Linked DNA regions of Notamacropus eugenii. The protein of the gene in region 2 interacts with the protein of the main gene of each other region in a biochemical or structural test. Links are inferred from orthologs where the notes say so. Each region holds a gene or a part of one and is shown on either strand. Other genes may lie near its edges.

Evidence for each region. The genes of interacting proteins can lie anywhere in the genome.
Region 1: the proteins of UBE3A (region 2) and beta-actin-like protein 2 form a complex in vitro, tested with the Homo sapiens proteins (2 studies listed by BioGRID). The link is inferred for Notamacropus eugenii from reciprocal best matches to the Homo sapiens genes UBE3A and ACTBL2.

The regions. Positions count from the first base shown.
Region 1 is NC_092875.1:404,644,528-404,654,631, reverse strand, and holds beta-actin-like protein 2, read right to left. Parts: upstream 3,761-10,104; coding exon 2,630-3,760; downstream 1-2,629. UniProt on the Homo sapiens protein: Actins are highly conserved proteins that are involved in various types of cell motility and are ubiquitously expressed in all eukaryotic cells.
Region 2 is NC_092876.1:404,781,613-404,792,443, forward strand, and holds the start of UBE3A (ubiquitin-protein ligase E3A), read left to right. Parts: upstream 1-6,415; 5' UTR 6,416-6,517; intron 6,518-10,519; exon of another isoform or gene 10,520-10,538; intron 10,539-10,831. UniProt on the Homo sapiens protein: E3 ubiquitin-protein ligase which accepts ubiquitin from an E2 ubiquitin-conjugating enzyme in the form of a thioester and transfers it to its substrates.

The sequences.
Region 1 (10,104 bases), on a different chromosome or scaffold from region 2:
TGTCTGCTCTTTGTGGCCCCATTTGATGTTTCTCGGTAAAGATACTGGAATGGCTTGCCACTTCCTTCTACAGATCATTTTACAGATGAGAAAACAGAGACAAACAGCATTAAATGACTTGCCCAAGGTCACCCAAGCAGTAAGTGTTTGAGGTTTGATTTGAATTCAGCAAGATGAGTCTTCCCAAAGCCAGGCCTGGCACTCCATCCACTGTAGCACCACTTAGCTGCCCTGTCCTGTATATAGCTTGCTTGTTTGTATATTTTTACTTGTTGTCTCCACTATTAAATTATGAGCTTCTTGAGGGCAGAGACTTTCTTTTGTCTCTTTTTGCATGCCCACAACTTAGCACAGTGCATGGCACAGGTAAGTACTTAAGAAATGTTAATTTATTGACTGGCCATTGACTGCCCCATTAGAATGTGACCTCTTGAGGATAGAGACCATATTTTTTGCCTTTGTTTGTATCCTTAGCATTTAACACAATGCCTGACACATAATAATACTCAATAAATGCCTGTTGACTGAACAATTGACATCTACCTATATTCTCCTTCATTAAAATCCTCACATGACAGATGAATTTCATTATAGAACATGATATAAAAATGGCCCTTCAAAATACTAAATACATCTGCCAGTGTGTTATGGAATAAAAAAAAATTCCTGAGTCTTTAGACAAAAGATCTTGGTTTGAATCCTGGCTTGATTAGTTATTGCCTATGTGATCTTAGGCCATTTTAATCATTTTTTGTGTTTCGGTCTCCTCACCTATAAAATGAGGGAGTGGGACTAGATGCTGTCCAAGGGTTGGGTGCAGTTTGGTGCAGTAGAAAGAGTACTAAATGTTTTTAGTCAGGAGAACAAAGTGTGAATCCTGGCTCTGTTACTTGTTCCCTGTGAGAGTTTGGACTTTCTTTACTTTTCTGGGCCCAAATCCCCTTATATTTAAAAGAGGAAGTTTGTATACATGATATCTAAATTTCAATCCAGTTCTCAAGCTAATGAAATTAGGATCTTGCATCCTTTCCTGCTTTAAATCTTATGAATCCTAGAGTTAACTAGATAACATACATTTTTTTTTTTACAATTTTCTTAATATGTAAGCAAGCCATGAGATAATAAAATCCCCAAAGTAAACACTTGAAACACCCATGTAAGAGGAAATGTCCTGTAAAAAGATGATATAGAGATGAAAAATTAGCTGATTTTCAAGTGAGGGTCAGTCCTAGCCCTAGTTAAATAAATGCCTATAATCATTCTCTGTAGATGGCTGTCACTTCCTTGGAGAAGGAAAATTCTTTTTAGGGTTTTTTAAAATGCTAAAGAACTAGCACAGTTTATGACCCTCTAAAGAGGCATCTACACCCACTTTTTCTTGTTTTAAGGGGAGCCATTTATGTAAAGAACTCTTGAAACAATATAATTAAATAGTGGAAAAAGCATTAGTTCTGGAATCAGAGGACCAGGGTTTGAATCCTATCTCAGATAACTATTACTTTTGTGACCTTGGGGACATTATTTAACCTCTCTGGACCTTAGTTTCCTCATTTATAAAATGAGGAGGTTGGATTAGATCAGAAGTCTATGGGAACTGAAGTTTGTTTTTGTATGGCTGATGAACTAAGAATGGTTTTTAAATATTTTATTTAGTTTTTAAATACTTTATTTCAAAAGAAATACTTTGTAGCTAAATATTGAAATACTTAAATTAAAAATGCAAAATCATTTTTTAGCTCTCAAGTCTTACGAAAACCAGTTGCAGAATGGAGTTGGCTCTCAAGTCGTAATTTGTCAACCTCTGGATCAGAGGACCTTTTGGTTCTCTTCCAAATCTATAAAAATGGGAAATCTGGTGAAGTTAAGAAAAAAAAAAAAAGACACTAGCAATGTAGACTGCCGAAATAAATCACTACATAGTACAATATAATGTTTTATTTCCTCAGTATTGATATAAAATTGTTCTTAGCCAATTCGACTTTATATCTTCATTCAAAGATTGGAAACATGGAAGCACGAGGTCAATATAACCTTCCTTGTCTATGGAAGCACATTGTTCTAAAGGTTAGATGGGTGGCCATAGTTTTATATTTAAAAGAAAACAAAAAGTAAGAACGAGTTTTCACGTCTTCCAGTTCAGTCCTAACCACGGAGATGACATTTTATTATTTTAATGATTTTAATTTCTTGAGTTATTTAGACTCCAGGCACTCATTTTTTTTCATACAGGTTTAAATTTCTGACACCCTGAAAGTTTGGTTCAGTAGTTAAGATTCTTCCCTGGTCAATTGGAGGAAATTCAATTCATAATCAGGAGCCTTCTTTCGAAGGCTCCATCACCAATCTCTCTGCCAGTATTGCAATGCCCACCATAGCATAGCCACTGTCAATTATGGATTTGCTCACCCCTTCCCAAAAAAGCAAGGAACAAGACATGAATTAGAAGCTGGGATTTTTAGAAGAGTGGATAAATTACCTCAAATCAAGAATTAAAGGTGGGGCATGATCAGCACCATGGTGGTCGCTTTCCTTCCTTTTCCCCAACCCTCAGCAATGTCAAAAAGGGGTAGTTCTAAGCCCACTGAGGGTTAGGAAAACAAGGAGCACTGCCCAGTAACCATAAGCTTATTCAGAAGCATTTTCTGTGGACAATAGATGGACCAGACTCATCATATTCCTGTTTGCTGATCCACATCTGTTGGAAGGTAGATAGGCTGGCCAGAATGGAACCACCAATCCAGACTGAGTACTTACGCTCCGGAGGAGCAATGACTTTGATTTTCATGGTGCTAGGTGCCAGGGCCAAGATTTCCTTCTGCATCCGATCGGCAATGCCAGGGTACATAGTGCTGCCCCCAGAGAGCACAGTGTTGGCATAGAGGTCCTTGCGGATGTCCACATCACATTTCATGATGGAATTGAAAGTTGTTTCATGGATCCCACTGGACTCAATGCCTAGAAAAGATGGCTGGAAAATGGCTTCAGGGCACCGGAACCGTTCATTCCCAATGGTGATTACCTGCCCATCAGGGAGTTCATAGCTCCGTTCCAGGGAGGATGATGTGGAAGCACTGATCATCTCTTGCTCAAAATCCAAGGCTACATAGCACAATTTCTCCTTGACATCACGCACTATTTCCCGCTCTGCTGTAGTGGTGAAGTTGTAGCCACGCTCAGTGAGAATCTTCATGAGATAGTTGGTCAGTTCCCGACCTGCTAAATCCAGGCGTAAGATGGCATGGGGCAGGGCATACCCTTCATAAATGGGCACAGTGTGAGTGACTCCATCTCCAGAGTCCATGACAATGCCCGTTGTCCGTCCAGAAGCATAGAGGGACAGCACAGCCTGGATAGCCACATACATGGCGGGTGTGTTGAAGGCCTCAAACATGATCTGAGTCATTTTCTCCCGGTTGATCTTGGGATTGAGGGGTGCCTCAGTGAGTAGGATGGGGTGCTCGTCAGGGGCCACACGCAGCTCATTATAGAAAGTATGATGCCAGATCTTCTCCATGTCATCCCAGTTGGTGACCACCCCATGCTCAATGGGATACTTCAGAGTGAGAACGCCTCTCTTGCTCTGGGCCTCATCTCCAACATAGCTGTCCTTCTGGCCCATCCCTACCATGACACCCTGGTGTTTAGGTCGTCCAACAATAGATGGGAACACAGCCCGTGGGGCATCATCACCACCAAAACCTGCCTTGCACATCCCCGACCCATTATCTATTACCAGGGCAGACAGATCTTCATCAGTCATGGTGCTGGCTGGATCTTGCAGAAGGTGAGGTTTGAGTTCAAATGCAGAAGATATACTGGTGCCAATCAGCATACGGGAGTAGAAAAGAGGGTCAAATTAGCTGTAACCTCTCTAGAAGTAGTACAGGAGAAAAACACTTAGTTGTGACAAGAGGCTTTAAAAGAAGCACACTGACTCCACCCATGCCTTGTCTCATTACATCACACCCCCAACCCTCCTAGTGCTCCCAGTTAGGATCTCCTTCTAGGTGTTAATAATGATTTTGTAGACCTTCTATCATAAAGAGGAAAATTAGCTACCAAATCCACCAGTGACTGTAATTAGAAAACCCACAGAAGGATGTCCGGCTGCTATGGTAGTGACCCTGGATAAACATGGTGATGCAATATCGAATATTAAAAGATGAAAGGCTAGGATGAAAGGCTACAAGAAGATCAACTCTATTCTCTCGTTTGCCCTTGGGGAAGGAATTCTTCATGTGAGATAGAACTTCTGATGGTGTGTAATATTGATATTTACATACTTGCATTGGTCTGCATATGACATGTATAATGATAGCTCTCAATACTTATAGCTCTTAGCCATGGTGGATAGCTCTGTGAGGAGGGTTAATGTAAAGGATAAAATAATTTCATAGCTGAGGGAATACTGACTACTTCAATCAGAATCCCATTTGCACCTTGTGCAGTTTAGAGATATTTAATAAAAACAGAAGAGGTGGCACCATAGCGTACAGAGTGCTGGGCCTGGAGTCAAGAAGACTCATCTTCCTGAGTTCAAATCTGGCCCCAGGTACTTATGAGTTGCATGATGCTGAGCAAGTCACTTAGCCCTGTATGCCTCAGTTTCTTCATCTGTAAAATGAGTTGGAGTAGGAAATGGCAAACCACTCCAGTATCTTTGCCAAGAAAGAAAGCCCCAAATGGGGTCACAAAGAGTCAGACATGATTGAAATGACTAACTAGTAGAAACAAAATTTTGAAACCATTAAAGATGAAGTTAGAGAGGATTATTAAAAAACTAGTCAACAACATTTATTAATGTTAATATATTATATTATATATAATACATAATTATATATATTATAATTATATATAAATTAATCCCTACTATGTTTCAGGAATCATACTAAATGATGGGAATATAAAAACAAGCAAAAAGAAATACAGAAACAGTTTGTGCTCAAAGAATTACCCTTTAGTTGGGGAAGACAGCATGTACAAAGATCATCTATCCTTAGACAAATCAATCAGAAAAAGATGATGGATGAGAAGACTTGAGAGCAAGGAAGTGACTCAGATCCCTCCTTCTGGATTTACATTCTAAAGCAACAAACATTCACTAAAATCTTCTATATTCAAGGTTAGACCCTTTCCCCCAGGAGTCTGCAGATTTGCTGAACCTCTGCTAGATGCTTGTGGGTACCTGGTACTAATTAGAAGTTAAAATAGCACCCATTCATTGGCATCTAAGACGACATGGCTGTTTTATTAAAATAAATAATATTAGATACAGTAATTTGAAAACCTGCAGATGTAAAGAAAAAAAAAACCTTGGTCCTTAAAGAATTCTTACATTTTAGATTAAGAAAATAAAACTAAATGGTTTTGTACTCATTAGAATACAAATAAAAGTACTAGCCTTGGTGCTCCTTCTGCCTCTCATTTCTGGACTTTTTATCCTGGGCTAGCTTCAAGCATTAATTTCCATTTTATTTGTATTATATGAAGACTAGGACAGTTTTTAACACATGATACATTTAGTAGGACAATAACAATGAATTAGGAAGTTCATTACTATTTTCCCCTCACCGACTGTCAAAACAGGAAGTAATCTCTCCCATCAGTGCTTCTATAAAACAAAATGATTATCGGTACCCATATTTCTCATGCATGACTCTCCAGTTTCATTAGAGTTGTATCCAATCTATTCTGTGCCCAGAATTGCCTCTTCCAGCTCTGAATTTGCAGAGCTGGTCCTGGCACTTTGCCCAGGGGCCTCCTTATACTGGGTTGCAACACCAGACTGTGATCATCCAGACCATGGCTTCCTTTTCAAGCTGAATACAGAATTATCCTCCTCTGCATGTTGTCTGTTCTTTTCCTTAATGAACCCTTAAAACCTCTCCCTCTATCCCTGGAGGTCTACATTTGGCTAGAATTTGTGCTTCTCCCAGAGACACTTTTCTTGCTTTCTACCAGAAATTACTTTTCCCTTAATCTTTTTCTGTAACTGCCAAACCTGTCCATCTTGGAACAAACAATACTAAACAATTTCTCTTCCCACCAAAGCTGACTGGCTCTGGGTTTTTTTTAGCTTCCTTATTAAACAATGCAATAGATCTTTGAGATAAAATAACATTTTGTGGTTAAAAATGATACCACTGCAATATTTCTTTGCTCACCTCCCCACTTTAATATTTATCATATGCTTATGCTGCAAAAAAAATCAAATGGCATGTAGCACAAAACTTTGTTTGCAAAATCTCTTGGTGAATCAAAGCCATATCAATGAAAACAAGAGACTGAGCCCAGCACAGCATGAAGCATAACTATGCCAGATGCTGGATTGATGGAGCCCTGTCTTGGGAGTGTTCCATGAAAAAAATGCCATCTCAAATAGAAGCCATGAATGCCACACACTCAGAGTGAGGCTGATTTGTCACTTTGCTCAGTCATTTAACCCTCTGTTGTGCATTTGGTTTCCTCAAGGAGGGTCTTGTCTATTGGTTATTATAGAAAGTGTTTTTAATTAGCTCCTGCAATTTGGGGGGGATGTTAATTAAACTGCCATTTAAAAACCTGATCCCCCCCAAGCTGGTTAAATGCAAAAGGAACTGAAGCTATGGAAGTGATACCATAAAAAGGGAACAAAAAGGAGAGGAAGCTAGCTTTTCAACTGCAGCACTCTTGGAAGATGTTCCCAAACACAATTACATCCTTCATGGTTATGTTGCATTTTATGAATCAATATTTTAAGCCAGTCACTGAAAAAGCCTCAGAATGGAAGAGACCCCTCTTTAGCTGACTGCATGATGGTGGAATTCATATTTTGTTCTTCATTTTGATCTTTGTAGCAGGAAAAAAATCTACCTTGCTATTTACAATTTAGAATCCAAATCAGTAAAAGAATTGCATATGGGTTAGATGTAACTGCCCATTTAAACTAATGTGGACACATTCTAAAAAGGAGTAATTCAGATCAAGAAAGGGAAAATAGAATGTTCTTTGTGACTGTAGTTGGCCCCTTGGAAGCTTTCTTCAGCTTCATTCAGCCATCTCTAATGTACAAAGAGTCAGTACTTGGGGGTCCTTAGGGTGGGAGCTATGGGCAACAATTAAATGGTGTTGCCAGCCTTGAGATGACAGAGAACCCCGATTATGTTCTTGGAAACCTATGGAGCAGGAAAACTAAAGGGCAAAAGGGGATGGAGGCTAGATTGGGGGAGGGCCTAGAAGGGGCATCCAAGATAGGATTCCTGGATTGTGCATCTGGGGAATAGGAAGCAGTGTAAATCTTTGGTTGAAACATGGTATTGAGGTAGAGGATCACCATAGTAAGGAAGCTTTAACTTGCATGACAACCAAAGACCCAAGCTGGACCTCTTACTGCATCTCTTGCTACTGTCCCCACTTTTCCACTCATATAACTACCATCCTAGTCCAAACCCTTCTCATATTTTGCATAAGGGGGTCTGGATAGTATTTACTTCACCTCTAGGTATAGGGGAAAGAAAGAGGGACTAGGGAATAAGCATTTATATAGGGCCTACTATGTGCTGGGAACTGTGCCAAGCACTTTTACAGTTAATATAACATTTCATCTTCTCAATAATGCTGCAAGGTAGGTAGTGTTATTATCCGCATTTTACAGTTGAGAAAACTGAAGCAGACAGAGGCTAAGTGACTTGCTCAGGTTCACATAGCTAGTAAGTGTCTGAAGAAGGATTTTAACTTAAGTCTTCATGACTCCACCTAGCTGGTGGTACAGTGAATAAAGTGCTGGGCTCAGTCAGGACGTCTTGAGTTCAAATCCTGCCTCTGATACTTATTAACTACGTGAATCTGGGCAAATCACTTAATCCCTGTCTGCCTCAGTTTCCTCAGCTGTAAAACAGGGATTATAGTACCTAACTTGCAAGATTACTGTGAAGATCAAATGTGATAATATTTGTAAAGTGCTTAACCCAGTGCCTGGCACATAATAATAGCCACTTAATAAATACTTTCCCCCCCTTTCCCTTGTCTTGACAGTGAATTTTTAAGTAATTGAGTTATTTAATGGTGCGTTACAGCTGAGCTAAACTGTCTCCCTTTATTCCACCAACCTGATTTCCCAGCTGGTCTCTGTTCCAGTTCTCTCCACTATCTTCCTCTCCTCACCTACTGAAGAGATTTTCCTGCTTCCTTATTCAATAAACTTCAATGGACCCTAATTACCTCTAGCAAATAAAAACCACTCTCTGTTTGGCATTCAAAGCCCTTCTTCCAACTTATCCCCACCTGCCTTTCCACCTTTTTAATATATCATTCTCCTTCTTTCATTCAAGGGTCCAGACATACTGACCCTTGGGTAATTTCTCACATTCACATAGAAATATGTCTAAAATACTCAAACATGAACAGGAAATTAAACTACGATACCCTCCTTTAAGCAAAACTATATAAAGAAAAAATGATGAATTTATATCAAAAACTCTGTGATGAGTTGAGATCAAAGCCGATTTGCTTTTTTGTCATCACTTTTGCAATGTGTACTGTGAATGTATAAATATAGAGAAATATGGTCCTTGATGAAAAGCTTTTATGTTCACTAACTATTCTTACTTATTATTTGATTGTTTTATCAGGCATTTTTCAATAAAAGGTATCTGAAATAAATTCACCTGCTTGCTACAGAAGTGAATCAACTGAATTAGTAATTATTAAAATATTCTTTACAAATAGACTGTCTCCTAGAACATGAACTATTTCAAAAATAGTGATACTTATTCAGTCATATTACACCCAATAACAACATTTTTTGTGCCCTTAATAAAATAATTGAAATGTTTATTGCCTTCTTTATCTTTTAAAATTTTGATATTTTACATTTTATTTTGCTCATATGTACATACATTAACAGAATAATTATGTACATAATTTGTAGATGTGTGTACTTATATAAACTAAATCTCAAGTCTGGAACATTTGTAAAGACTCTATTCATCAGTGGAAAGAAAAATGACTGGATGCTCTGTGCCTGTATGAGGGGAGCTATTGACCCAAGAACTTTGGAGAAGAGATACATTCTTCTTCCTTCGTGCTTTTGAGAGAGAGAGAGACAGAGCGAGCGCGAGCGTTTTCATCTTTAAATATCTAAATACATAATCATCAAATGAGATATCTATAAAGTACTTTGAAAACCTTGAAGCATTATATAAATGCTATTATTATGATGACGATAATTAGTAGTACTGGTAGTAATAGTATCCAATGGCACATGGAAAGGAGTAAGCTTATCCACTATTGAAAGTTGCTGTGGTATGATGGGTATTTCTGTGGTAGCAGAGAGACTAGGGGTGGATTTTGGGGGAGAGGATTTGAAAGAAGTTTCCTGATTATAATGATAAAGGGTGAAAAGAATGAGAGAAATATGATGGGTATACGCATGGATTTCCCAGCCATGATGGAGTCATTTTGGCAACTAGAGGACAAACCCCACCTTACAACCATGACAGTGTGCAAGGTTGAAGTTGAATTCTGATCCCATAAGCCAAAAGGAGAATATAGGTGGCTGTCAGACCACAAGGAGGGCTATTAGTCTTGCTGCAAGAGTAGCAGAGAGAGAGAGAGGACTTGCATAACTCATTTCATAAGGTCTTATGGTCCTGACATAAACGAATTGGGAAATATTTCTCAAGATAGCCTTATAAAAACCAAGTCCTTTATATTGGGAAGGGATAAATAAGTTATATTTTGCACAGAAGAAATTGAAAGGAAATCTGGAAAACCACAAATATTCTTCCAATGTGAAAACAAGTTATTAATTTCTTAGGGCCAGTTAAATTTCAGAACAAACCAAAAAAAAAAATGAGAAAATGATTGGACTGAGAAGGCATTTTCAGTAATGAAATGTCTCCTCTATCATCTAAAATGAAATGACTCTGTTAAAAATGCTTTAGTGGGGAAGAGTGTGTTATATAGTGATTGATAAAGAAATGAAAATTGTACCAAGAAGTCATGCATATTCTTTGGTTGGCTGGCATGTTTACTATAGAGTCAATAAAATATCAGTTATCATACCAAAGGAGGTGATGCCTACACTTCCATAAGGGTTTGACTATTATGCTGAGAGGTGGATGG
Region 2 (10,831 bases):
GATGGCAAAGAATTGGAAATGAAGGCTATGCTCATCAACTGTAGAATGACTGAACACGTTGTGATATGTGATTTTTATAGAATACTATTTTGCTATAAGTAATGATGAAGGGAATAGTTTCAGAAAATCCTGGGAAAACTTATATGAATTGATGCAAAGTGAAATGAGCAGAAACAGAAGAACATTGTACACAATAATAGCAATATTGTAATGATGATAAACTGTTAAACACAACTCTTGTGACATAATGATCCATGACAATTCCAAAAACCTTGTGATGAGAATACTGTCCATTTCCAAAGAGAGAGAGCTGATAACTCTCACTATACACTGAAACACATTTTTCACTTTATTTTTCTTCACCCTTTAATAATATTTAATTTTTTCCAATTACATGTAAAGATAGTTTTCAACATTTACTTTTATGAGATTTTGAGTTCCAAATTGTTTTCTCCCTCTCCCCCTCCCCAAGATGGCAAGTAATCTGATATAAAGTATACATGTACAATCTTATTAAGCATATTTCCACATTAGTCATGTTGTGAGAAAAAAAGAATCTGAACAAAAGAGAAAGAAAACAACAAAAAAAGAGAAAATCGTATGCTTCAGTCTGCATTCAGGTTCCATAGCTCTTTCTCTGGATGTGGATAGTGTTTTCCGTCATGAGTCTTTTGGAATTGTATTGCTGAGAAGAGCTAAGTCTATCAAAGTTGATCATTGTACAACGTTGCTGTTACTGTGTACAATGTTCTCTTGGTTCTGCTTACTTCACTCAGCGTCCATTCATGTAAGTCTGTCCAGGTTTTTCTGAAATCAGTTTGTTCTACATTTCTTATAACATAGTAATAGTCCATTACATTCATATACCACATCTTGTTCAGTCATTCTCCAGCTGATGGGTATCCCCTCAATTTCCAATTCTTTACTACCACAAAAAGAGCTGCTGTAAATATTTTTGTACATGTGGGTCCCCTTCCATATTTTATGGTCTCTTTGGGATACAGACTTAGGGGTGGTATTGCCAGATCAAAGGGTAAGCACAGTTCTATAGCTCTTTGGGCATTCACTTTATTTTTCTTGCTTTTTTTGCACCATCACTAATATGAAAAATATTTTGTATGACTTCATATGTGTAATGGGGATCATGTTTCTTGCCTTCTCTATGGGTGAGGGAGGGGTTGAGGGAAAGAATTTGAAGTAAAAATAAATATTTCAAATGAAATAAAGGCGTGCCACAGGACTTGAGAGAAAAGGATATTGAGAGCATTTTACAAGATACTATTGAGACTTTGGGATATGAGGTATTCACCAAGTGATATGAGGAAAGTGATCAAAACAGTCTTTTGAGTAAGTTACCTGAGGCTATGGACTCTTCTAAAATCCCTGGTAGCATAAGAGTTTCAGAAAGAACTTAGAGACTGATTACCAGGCTTTTCCCAGAAGATGACAGGATACTGAATGGGGTTAAGACTGTTAATCAATGAAGTATCTAGAGACATATTATTGGAACTAAACTTAAGTTGAAAGCTATCTGAAAAGTAGAAGCAGCTACAGATGCCAATAAGTGTCCATGCTCCACAATGCACAGAGTTGTACCACAGGGCAATCTTAGGAGTAGATATTGCCTTTTCTCAGGAAAAGGAACCATTTCTGAGTGACAAACTAGACTGAAGCAGTATAGCACTGGCAGGTTTATGAAGTGGAAAAAAAGAGGGTAATTGCTACTTAGGTTTTGGAATTGTAGAGGGTCTAAAGACTTCACAACATGAACTCACATTGCAAAGATGCGTGTGGAAACTAGAAAAGTAATGTAATAGTGATGACACCACAAGAAGCATATGTTGAGCCATTCAGTGAAAAGGAGAAAGAACCTTTAAGTTTGTAATTTGGGTGAAAAGTCAACCACAAAGAGAAATAAAAAAGTGTAATTAGACTATGGGCAAATGTCCAGGGTATTGTTTACTCCAAAGAGCTGAAGTGAAAGCAGTCAAAATGTGATCAGTTGCCAGACATAGTAAACCAATTTACAAATCATTTCCAAACTGCAGTGAATAATCTAACTTGGAAAAAACTCAGCTCCTCAGCATCTTCCTATGTGTGGACCCTAGAAACAGGGCAAGAAACCATCTCTAATCACCTAGACTCAAGGGTAAGTACTTACAGAAAACCTGCTGAGAAAAAGAATTGTAGACAGTGCTGTTACACTAGGAGAAAGCCAGGTGTGCAGGGACCTGAAGTCACAACTACCTAATGGAAAGACACCACCAACAGAGACCAAATGGAGGGGCAGAACTACATTCTGCTTAAATAATAACTAAGATGGATATAGGGGTTACGTGCAAACCTAATAGAAGAAAGCAGAGTTCATGTGTGAGAAGCTGAATTACTGAGAATATCAAGACATGGAGATGAAGCCAGCAATGGACACCAAGTTTGAACTCAACTCTAGTTACATATTGATTCCTTGACCTGGATTTATTGGAACCTGCTATAACTGCCCTGCCCCTGAAGTGACAGTAAAGACCGTAAATTTCCTGTATTGGACAGTGGATCTCAGGTGACTATTATGTACCAAGATTTCTAAGAGAGAAAAACTAAGTGAGAAAAACTTCTTTGCAGCCTTTGAAAGGATTAGGACTCTATGGAGTAAGTAACAAAGACTATTGATACTAAGGCTACATTAGAAGGAGACTAAAATTTGCTAAAGAAGTTATTGGTTTGACAGGAAGTAAATACTTTGGCTTTGGTATATCCACATCTAAGCATGTCCCTGTTATGTCAGTCTAGATTTGAACAAACTCCAACTTATTCAAGATCCTAGCAATATATATGTAGCAACAGCCATTCCAGCATAAGGCCAGTAGTCAAATGACCTGTCTGGTTCAGACCAAAATCAGTCATGCCCAATAGCCAAGCAATTTCCTGGTCCAACTCAGAAGCAGCCAGTCCTAGTGAGGAGGTAGTACAACACCTAAATGATCTGCTTTGACAGCCTAGCAAGTGAGGAGTTGGCATTGTAGAAGTTATCCATCACCAGCTCCACATCCCACAGAGAACTCCATGAGATAACTTCCCTCTGAAGAAAGAACATTGAGACCTTGCATTTCCAGAGTTGTGAGTTGTCTGGACACGTGATCCCTGCACATTATGGCTCACTGTAATTATACTTTAGGTTCATGCCCATGTATTCTGTACATTTTTGTTGTAAAGTGTGACTGGTTTGCAGGAATTTGCTTTTTAACCACTATTCTTGCTATACCATTTGAGTAAATATTAGAAAGTCAGAATCAGAGCCAGAAAGTCTATTGGTAGATTGTTAAAAGCACACCAGTAGAAGCTCATGTTAAGGAGATAAATTCTCCTAGTATACCAAAGGTAGTAGCAGTCTCCTTTCTGGGATGCAATGTGCCAGTGCCTGGGATGCTTAAGGGAGTGAGTTCAGATTGGACTGCTATAGCAGCTATAGCTGGAGCTTTAAGTGGTATGCATGCCTGGAAAAGGAGGCTTTCTAGCCAGACATAGATAAGGACATATGTTAAGGAAAAAAGGTGAGTTTAAAAAGAGTGTATCTGGAAGGATGAAGGACAGAGAATCTATCACAGAAAAAAAGAAATAAGAACAGGATTGAAGGCTTAGTTGAAATTAGGTAACATTAATTTAGACCCAGTTGGCACACAGGTGAGTTGCCCCAGCAGCATTCAGAAGCCTGGGAACCCAAGTGGAGAAGGCAGATTGGCAGTGGGGCAGCAGGGAGTGAGCAGTCCAGGGTTAAGGCCTGGCAAGACTTACATGGCAGTGGAACAAGAGAGCAAGTGAGTTCTGTGTGGAGGACAGTGTAGAGCTAACCTGTCCACTATAAGGTCTAAACCAGGGGTGGGGAACCAGGTGTGACCTTCAGGCCACATGAGGCCTCCAGGTCCTCAAGTGCAGCCCTTTGACTGAATCCAGACTTCACAGAACAAATTCCCTTAATAAAAGGATTTGTTCCGTAAAACTTGGACTCAGTCAAAAGGCCTTAGCCAAGGCCATAGAAGGACACATATGGCCTTAAGGTCCCAAGTTCCCCACCCCCTGGTCTAAACTGTGAAGGGAGAAAAGATTTAAAGGATGACCAACCCTATGGGCAGCTAAAGAGAATGAAGCTGCAGGTTATGAGAACTGAGGAAGCTGCTCAACTGGGATACTAGATGCTTAAAGTGAAATTAATGTTTATATATTTTAGTTCCTAAGAATGAGCGGTGAATAATAACCTCCTTGTGGGTATAATCCTGGTAGCATTATCTGTAGGTCAAAGAGCATGAATAATTTTAACATATATATATATTTTTTAATTTCATCAAATACTTCCCAATTACATGTAAAAACGTTTTTAATATTCATCTAAAAAAATTTTGAGTTCCAAATTCTCTCCCTTCCTTCCCTCTCTCTCCCCTTCGAAAGGGATTATACATGTGGAATCATGCAAAAAATATTCACATGGCATGAGAAATTTATTAACTTTTATGCATTTTAAATTATTTTCCACAATAGTTTAACCAATTCACAGCTTCACAAAGAATTAGCATGTCTTTCTCCCCACTGCCCTTCAATGAATTTTCTTCTCTTTGCTAATTTGATAGGTGTCAAAGAATACATCAGATTTATTTTAATCTGCATTTCTCTATTAGTACTTTTGAACAATTTTTCAGATGGTAGCTTGTATTTAATACTCTTTTGAAAACTATATCCTTGGACCACCTGTCCATTGGGAAATGGTTTTTATGATTGAGACATGGGGATGACCTTGAATTTCCTGAGACTGTCAGCAGAGCATAATCTCTGGCAGAATCTACCACTTTAGAAAGACTTAATATGGTCCTGGTGACAGATTGTATCTAATGTTTGAGGTTCAGCTTAACTGAGTTCAGAGGCCATCACCACTCATAAAAAAAGAGAAAAATATGAAATGCCTTCTTTAAAGCCTTTGAGGTCAACTTCTGCAGTGACAGTGTTGGAATGGCTAAGAATCATCGTTTTTGAACTTTTTTCAAACGTTGCTCAGTGTCTGCCAGGGTTTCAAGTGGTCCTTCTAGGGCTAAAATTTTTATCTTCAGACTTCTAATAGTGTTTTCTCTGCCACACCTTGAAACTCTGCATGATAAAACATGTTAGAGAAAAAAATAGTAAATTCCACCTCCCAGCACTGTTCCCTCAATCAGCGTGACAAGCAAAATGAACATTATTTCATTATTTTTTCATCTTGTTAGACATTTATTTAATTTGTCAAAGTTATAAAAATATTCTATCTTCCTTCTTTGGTAAGGGATGAACATACTATGATTTTAGCTGTACTTCATTCTTTAAAATGCCTATAAGAACACCTTAAAGAAGTAAAAGTGAACAAGCTAAAGAAAAAACAACAACTTGTAAATCTCCCAAGTAATAGGTTGACCAGAAGACAGCTTAAGATCAGGCATGGTTAAATTTCTTCAAACTTTTTTCACATAAACTCCAAGTAGAAAGGGATTTGAGAGGGGATATAATAGAACAGGTTTTATGTGGTAGAACCTGTTACTGAGCAAGAATTCCTGCTACAATACACCCAACAACTGGTCATCTAACTTGTTCTTTAAGACCTCCAATGAGGGCCAACTATCTCATTTACAGATGGCCTCCAAATTCTTAATAAAGTAGTAGACAAGGACCTTAAGAGAGAAAACAGTGGGTTTAAGAAGAGAATATCTGGAATAGCCATTAAGAGATGAGGACAAAGAATCAATCGTAGAAGAATAGAAAGTTAGACAATAATAAATAAAACAAAAAGATAACACCATTCCACTTTGGAATGGCACAAATTGTTAGGAAGTTTTTTCTTATGTCTAAATTTGTCCTGAATTTGCTTGGTCTATTTCATTCTCCAAATGGCAAAGTATGAAGTGTTCTGGTATAATAGAAACAGTGGAAAAAATTCCTAACAATTAGAGCTCAAAGCTTTTGGAAGTGGTAGGTTCCTAATCAATGCAGGTTTTAAAGTTTTTTGTCCTTAGTTTTTGAAGGGGACCAATGATAAGAGGGAGAGGTTGACTTGCCTAGTGAACTGGATTTAAGTGAGGCAGAGTTGCACAATGTCATCAGCCTCACTCTTCCAGAGTCATCAAGATTCAGTGACAAGACAAAAATCAATTGCCCAGGATACAATGGATGATCTTGGTGTCTTTGATGTCTGATCAAGCTAAAAGCACCCCACCGCTATCTCTGCAGTTATTGGAACAAATTGTTCTCATCTGCCCATTCTGACAGAAGTCTTCTCATGCTTGGGGTAGACATTCCAGTAATTCACTGACGTATTAGAGCCCTGCAGGTTATCCTCAAACTGGTTTAGCCCATCTGCTGAGATGGTTTTTAAGTAGAAGCTGCATGACCACTTATCAGGTATATTATAATAACAGCAGTAAGCATCAGAAGGCTTACATCCTAGCAAGGAGAGAAGGACAAAGGGAAGATGTGGCTCTAGCTTTTATCAGCTGTGTGACTTTGGGTAAGTCAGTTATCATCTCTTAGCCTTTTCCACTGTGCTTTGCTACCTTCTACACAAATACATATAATTTGGCATGCTAACTCTATATTCTACATAAGATCATTTTTTAGAGAGGCAGCATTATGTTAGAAGGGAGAAGGCTGGCCTTGAGGACCCAGAGACCTCTGTTCAAGTCATAGGATCATAGATTTAGGTTTCCAACACATACTCTGTGACCGAGTACAAATCCCTTAATTATTCAACTCTCTGTAACTGTCAAGTTACAGACAAGTTGCTGATCTCCGGTGATGAAAAGGGTTTCCACATTGGGAGTTCCTTAGGCAGAAGGAACCATAGTTTCTAGAGCAATAACAGATATAATAATATTAATATAAATTTTAAATTTTGGACAAATTGGCCTACTTGCTGTTTCTCATACACAGGATTCTATTGTCCATCTCTGAGACTTTGCCCAGGCTGTGCCCCATGCCTGAAATGCCCAGTTTCTTATTGAGCTTGCTGTGTGACCATGGGTAGGTCATAGGCAGGTCAATTCTTCCTGTAAGGTCTATTCCCTTCCTTACCTGTAAAATAAAAGGGTTGTATCAAACAGCCTCTGAGTTCACTTCTGAATCTATGATCCAGTGAACCTTATCTCTTGGAATCTCTGGTTCCTTTCAAGGCTCAACTCAGTTGCTCCCTCCCTGCCACGCTGCTTAGCTGTTAGTGTTCTCTCCCACATGCAACATGACTTCCTATTTATCAGTGAATACACTGTGTGCTGTTTATTTGTTTTGTCTTTGCATTCTGAGCACCTAAGTCAATGTCTTGAATATCGTGTAATATTTTATGAATATAATTGTTCTAAAGCTTTGCCATGGGATGGAATTAACTCTGGGTAACTAAAGGTTTAAAAAGTAGCTGTGGAGGCTCCATGGCTAGAGTGCTGGGTCTCAAGTCAGGGAGGTCTGAGTTCAGATGTGACCCTGGGAAAGTCGCTTAACCTCTGTTGACCTTAACCCACTAGAGAAGGTAATAACAAACTACTCCACTATCTCTGTCGAGAAAATCCTACGGCATATTATGGCCCATGGGGTCATGAACAGTTGGACACAACTCAACTGACCAAAAACAAGTGAAGACTATGCTGGTAGAATGCATGCTCAGTCAAGCCCTATCAAACTATAAAGGTTGCGACCCAGCAAAATTTTCTTGTCAGGAAGCTGCTGAGGTAAGTAGGTACTGAAAAGAGGCAGCTCAGTGGATACAGCATTGAGGCTGGAGTCAGGAAGACCTGAGTTCAGATGCTGCCTCAGACACAGCTAGTGACCCTGGGCAAGTCCTTTAACCTCTGTTTGCCTTAATCCATTGGAAAAGGAATGGCAAACCACTCCAGTATCTCTGCCAAGAAAACCCCAAGGATAGTGCTGGTGTGATATGGTTCATGGGGTCGTAAAAGGGCTAGATAAGGCTGAATGACTGAACAGTACTGCAAAGCTTATAATCGGAAAGCCGATCACCAGGATACCTGTCTATATGCATACATCATAACAACCAACATATATTTGTGTGCATATATATATATATATATAATATGCACATGCATTATAATTACACACGTGTACATATATGTACATATAAATATCTAACACAGTAACTCAAGAAAAGGGTATCTGATTTCTTTCTGTTGGTAGTACTTACATATACATTATTTGTGAATTGAGAATCTTTTAAGTATGAAATAATGTACAAAGTAGTACACATAGGCTCATAGATTCAGAGCTAAAAGGAACCTTACATGTTACCAAATACAACCCCCTTATTTTATAGATGAGGAAACTGAGACCCAGAAAGGTGAAGAGATCTGCCCAGTCACACAGCTATTAAGTATCTGAGCTTGGATTTTAAACTGGGCTTTCCTGACTCCAGCTCCAACATTCTATGCACTATGGAGGCTCAGAATGCTTTGTGACTAAAACGTAGAATTAGAAATTATTTAGCTATTCACTGTAGACTAAAAATGAAAATACCCCTTGACCTAGTTCAGATAGATCAAAGAAGTAATTATTAAGTGTCTGCTACATTCCAGGAACTGTGCTGAGTTGGAGATTAAAAAAAAAAGTAACCCTTACACACAAAAAGATGAAATTCTAAGTCAGTAGATAACAGGCACATATAGAAATATATACAGAATATATACAAACTGGACACAGGGTAGTTTGAGGAGAGAAGGCATTAGCAGTTGGAGGAAGGCTTCATGTAAAAGATGGTTGAGTAGAATATAAAAGAAAAACCAGAGATTCTAAGTTGCAGAGGCAGAGAGGGCACATTCCAGGAAGAGTGTAAAAGCATGGAGCCAGAAGAAAAAATAGGTAAGTATGGCTGGATAGCAGAATATGGGACAGAATAAGGTCCAAGACTCTAAGGATAAGAAGGTTGTGAAAATCCAGGTAAAGGAGTTCAGAGTCATTGAGGCTTATTGAGTTCTTGAGGGTGGCATGGTCAGACCCATAGCAAAATGGCTTTATTGGCTGCATGGAGACTTGAATCAGGGAGACCAACTAGGAAGCTATTGCAATAGTCCAGGTGAAGATTGCTTGAGTTAGGGTGGTGACAGTAAGTGTGGAGAGAATAGTAAATACAACAAAGTTGTTGTAGAACCAGAAATGGAAAGATTTGACAACTGACTGGATTGGTGAGAGTGAGGAATCTAGGATGACAAAGGAGTTGTGGATCTGCGTGAGGGTTTAGTTCTTCCTGCCTTGAAGCCCAATGCTCTGCCCCACTCAGCTGCCTCCAGAGGGTTGGGTTTTAGGGAAAAGATACTGGAGCTTATGTTCACTGAGTAAGGAAGGTCTTGGCCAGACTTCCAGTAGCGTTCTGATCAAGATCTCTTTTAAACCACTACTTGGGTCACCTTGGGCAAAATCAGTTCCTCATCTTTAGAAGGGGATTAAACTCTGTAGCCTCCAAGGCTTCCAGTTGTCATTCTATGTTCCTAGTTCCTTAACTTGGAGGTTCACTTACTTCGGTACTCCATGGGGTTACGTAGAGTCAGATGCAACTGACCAAGAAATGTGCTACCTGCTGGAGATAAAAAGAAAGGCAAAAGACAAAGACCTCACAACCTAATGGTGGGAGACCCTCTGCAAACAACTGTGTACAAACAAGATACATACAGAGGAAATTGGAAGTTATCTCAGGGGAAAGGTATTAGCTTTAAAGGGAACTAGGAAAGGTTTTATGCAGAAGACAGGATTATAAGTGAGACTTCAGGATTTGTGTATGTCAGAAGGCATGGAAAGAGGGCAAACTAGGAACTAGGAAAGAGGACAGACCTATCCTAGACTCACTTTGGAGCTTGGAAGAAAAGACTTAAGAACCTTGATGGCAGAGGCTGTTAGCCATTTCTGTGGGTCGCCTATGGACCCCTTCCCGGAACCAACGTTGTGCCTGCTATCACTCTCTCTCTATATACGTATATATATGTATGTATGTATGTATGTATGTATGTATGTATGTATGTGTGTGTGTGTGCGTATATATATATATACGCACACACACTCGTATGTATATGAATAGGCAGGCATACAAGTAGACATATAGATACATTGTATACACGTATCTGTATACACACACATTTAAACATCCGCACCTATGTACGTGTGCACTCTCCTGTATGCATCTTACTGGCACCCTGCTGTTTGCAGACTGGGAGACCCCTGAGGGCCGGCGCTGGGCTGAAAACCGGGGAAAACCCGTCTACACCGGGAGACCCCAGGCAAACCGCGGTGTATGAACCAGCTCGCTGCGTGCGTCCTTGGTTTTCGAAGACCTGGCACGACGTCGGAGAAACGAACTAGCTGTTCGAGGCTACAGGGGGCATTAAGGGGAAGGCTTCCAGCGGAAGGGGGGGTTGTGGCTGGGCTAGGAATGCGCCGCCCGTATTCCTAATGCCAACTTTCAGTTAGAGGTCGCCGAAAATCAGGATGCCATTTCTTTCCCCCATTCAAGTTCAAGGACCCCCTGGAATCTATTCCAGGTTAGTGATCCCTGCGTGAGGGGGAGGAGGGGATCGACTCCCTCCCGGTTCTAGGAGGGCCTCCCAGCGCGAACAGAGCCCGGGGCTGCCCAGGCCCCACGGCGCCGGCCTGGGGCTCTCGTTTCACCGGGGCCCCGTCTCTGCCCGACTCCAAGATGGCCGCGGGGCGCGGAGGGGCGCCGGGCGGCCTGAAGTGGGCCCCCTTTCCCAGCCGCCTCTGCAGCCGGCGGTGACGACGGCAAGCCAAAGGGCAACGGGCCGTGCGAGGGAGAGAAAAGGGGAGGAACCCGGAG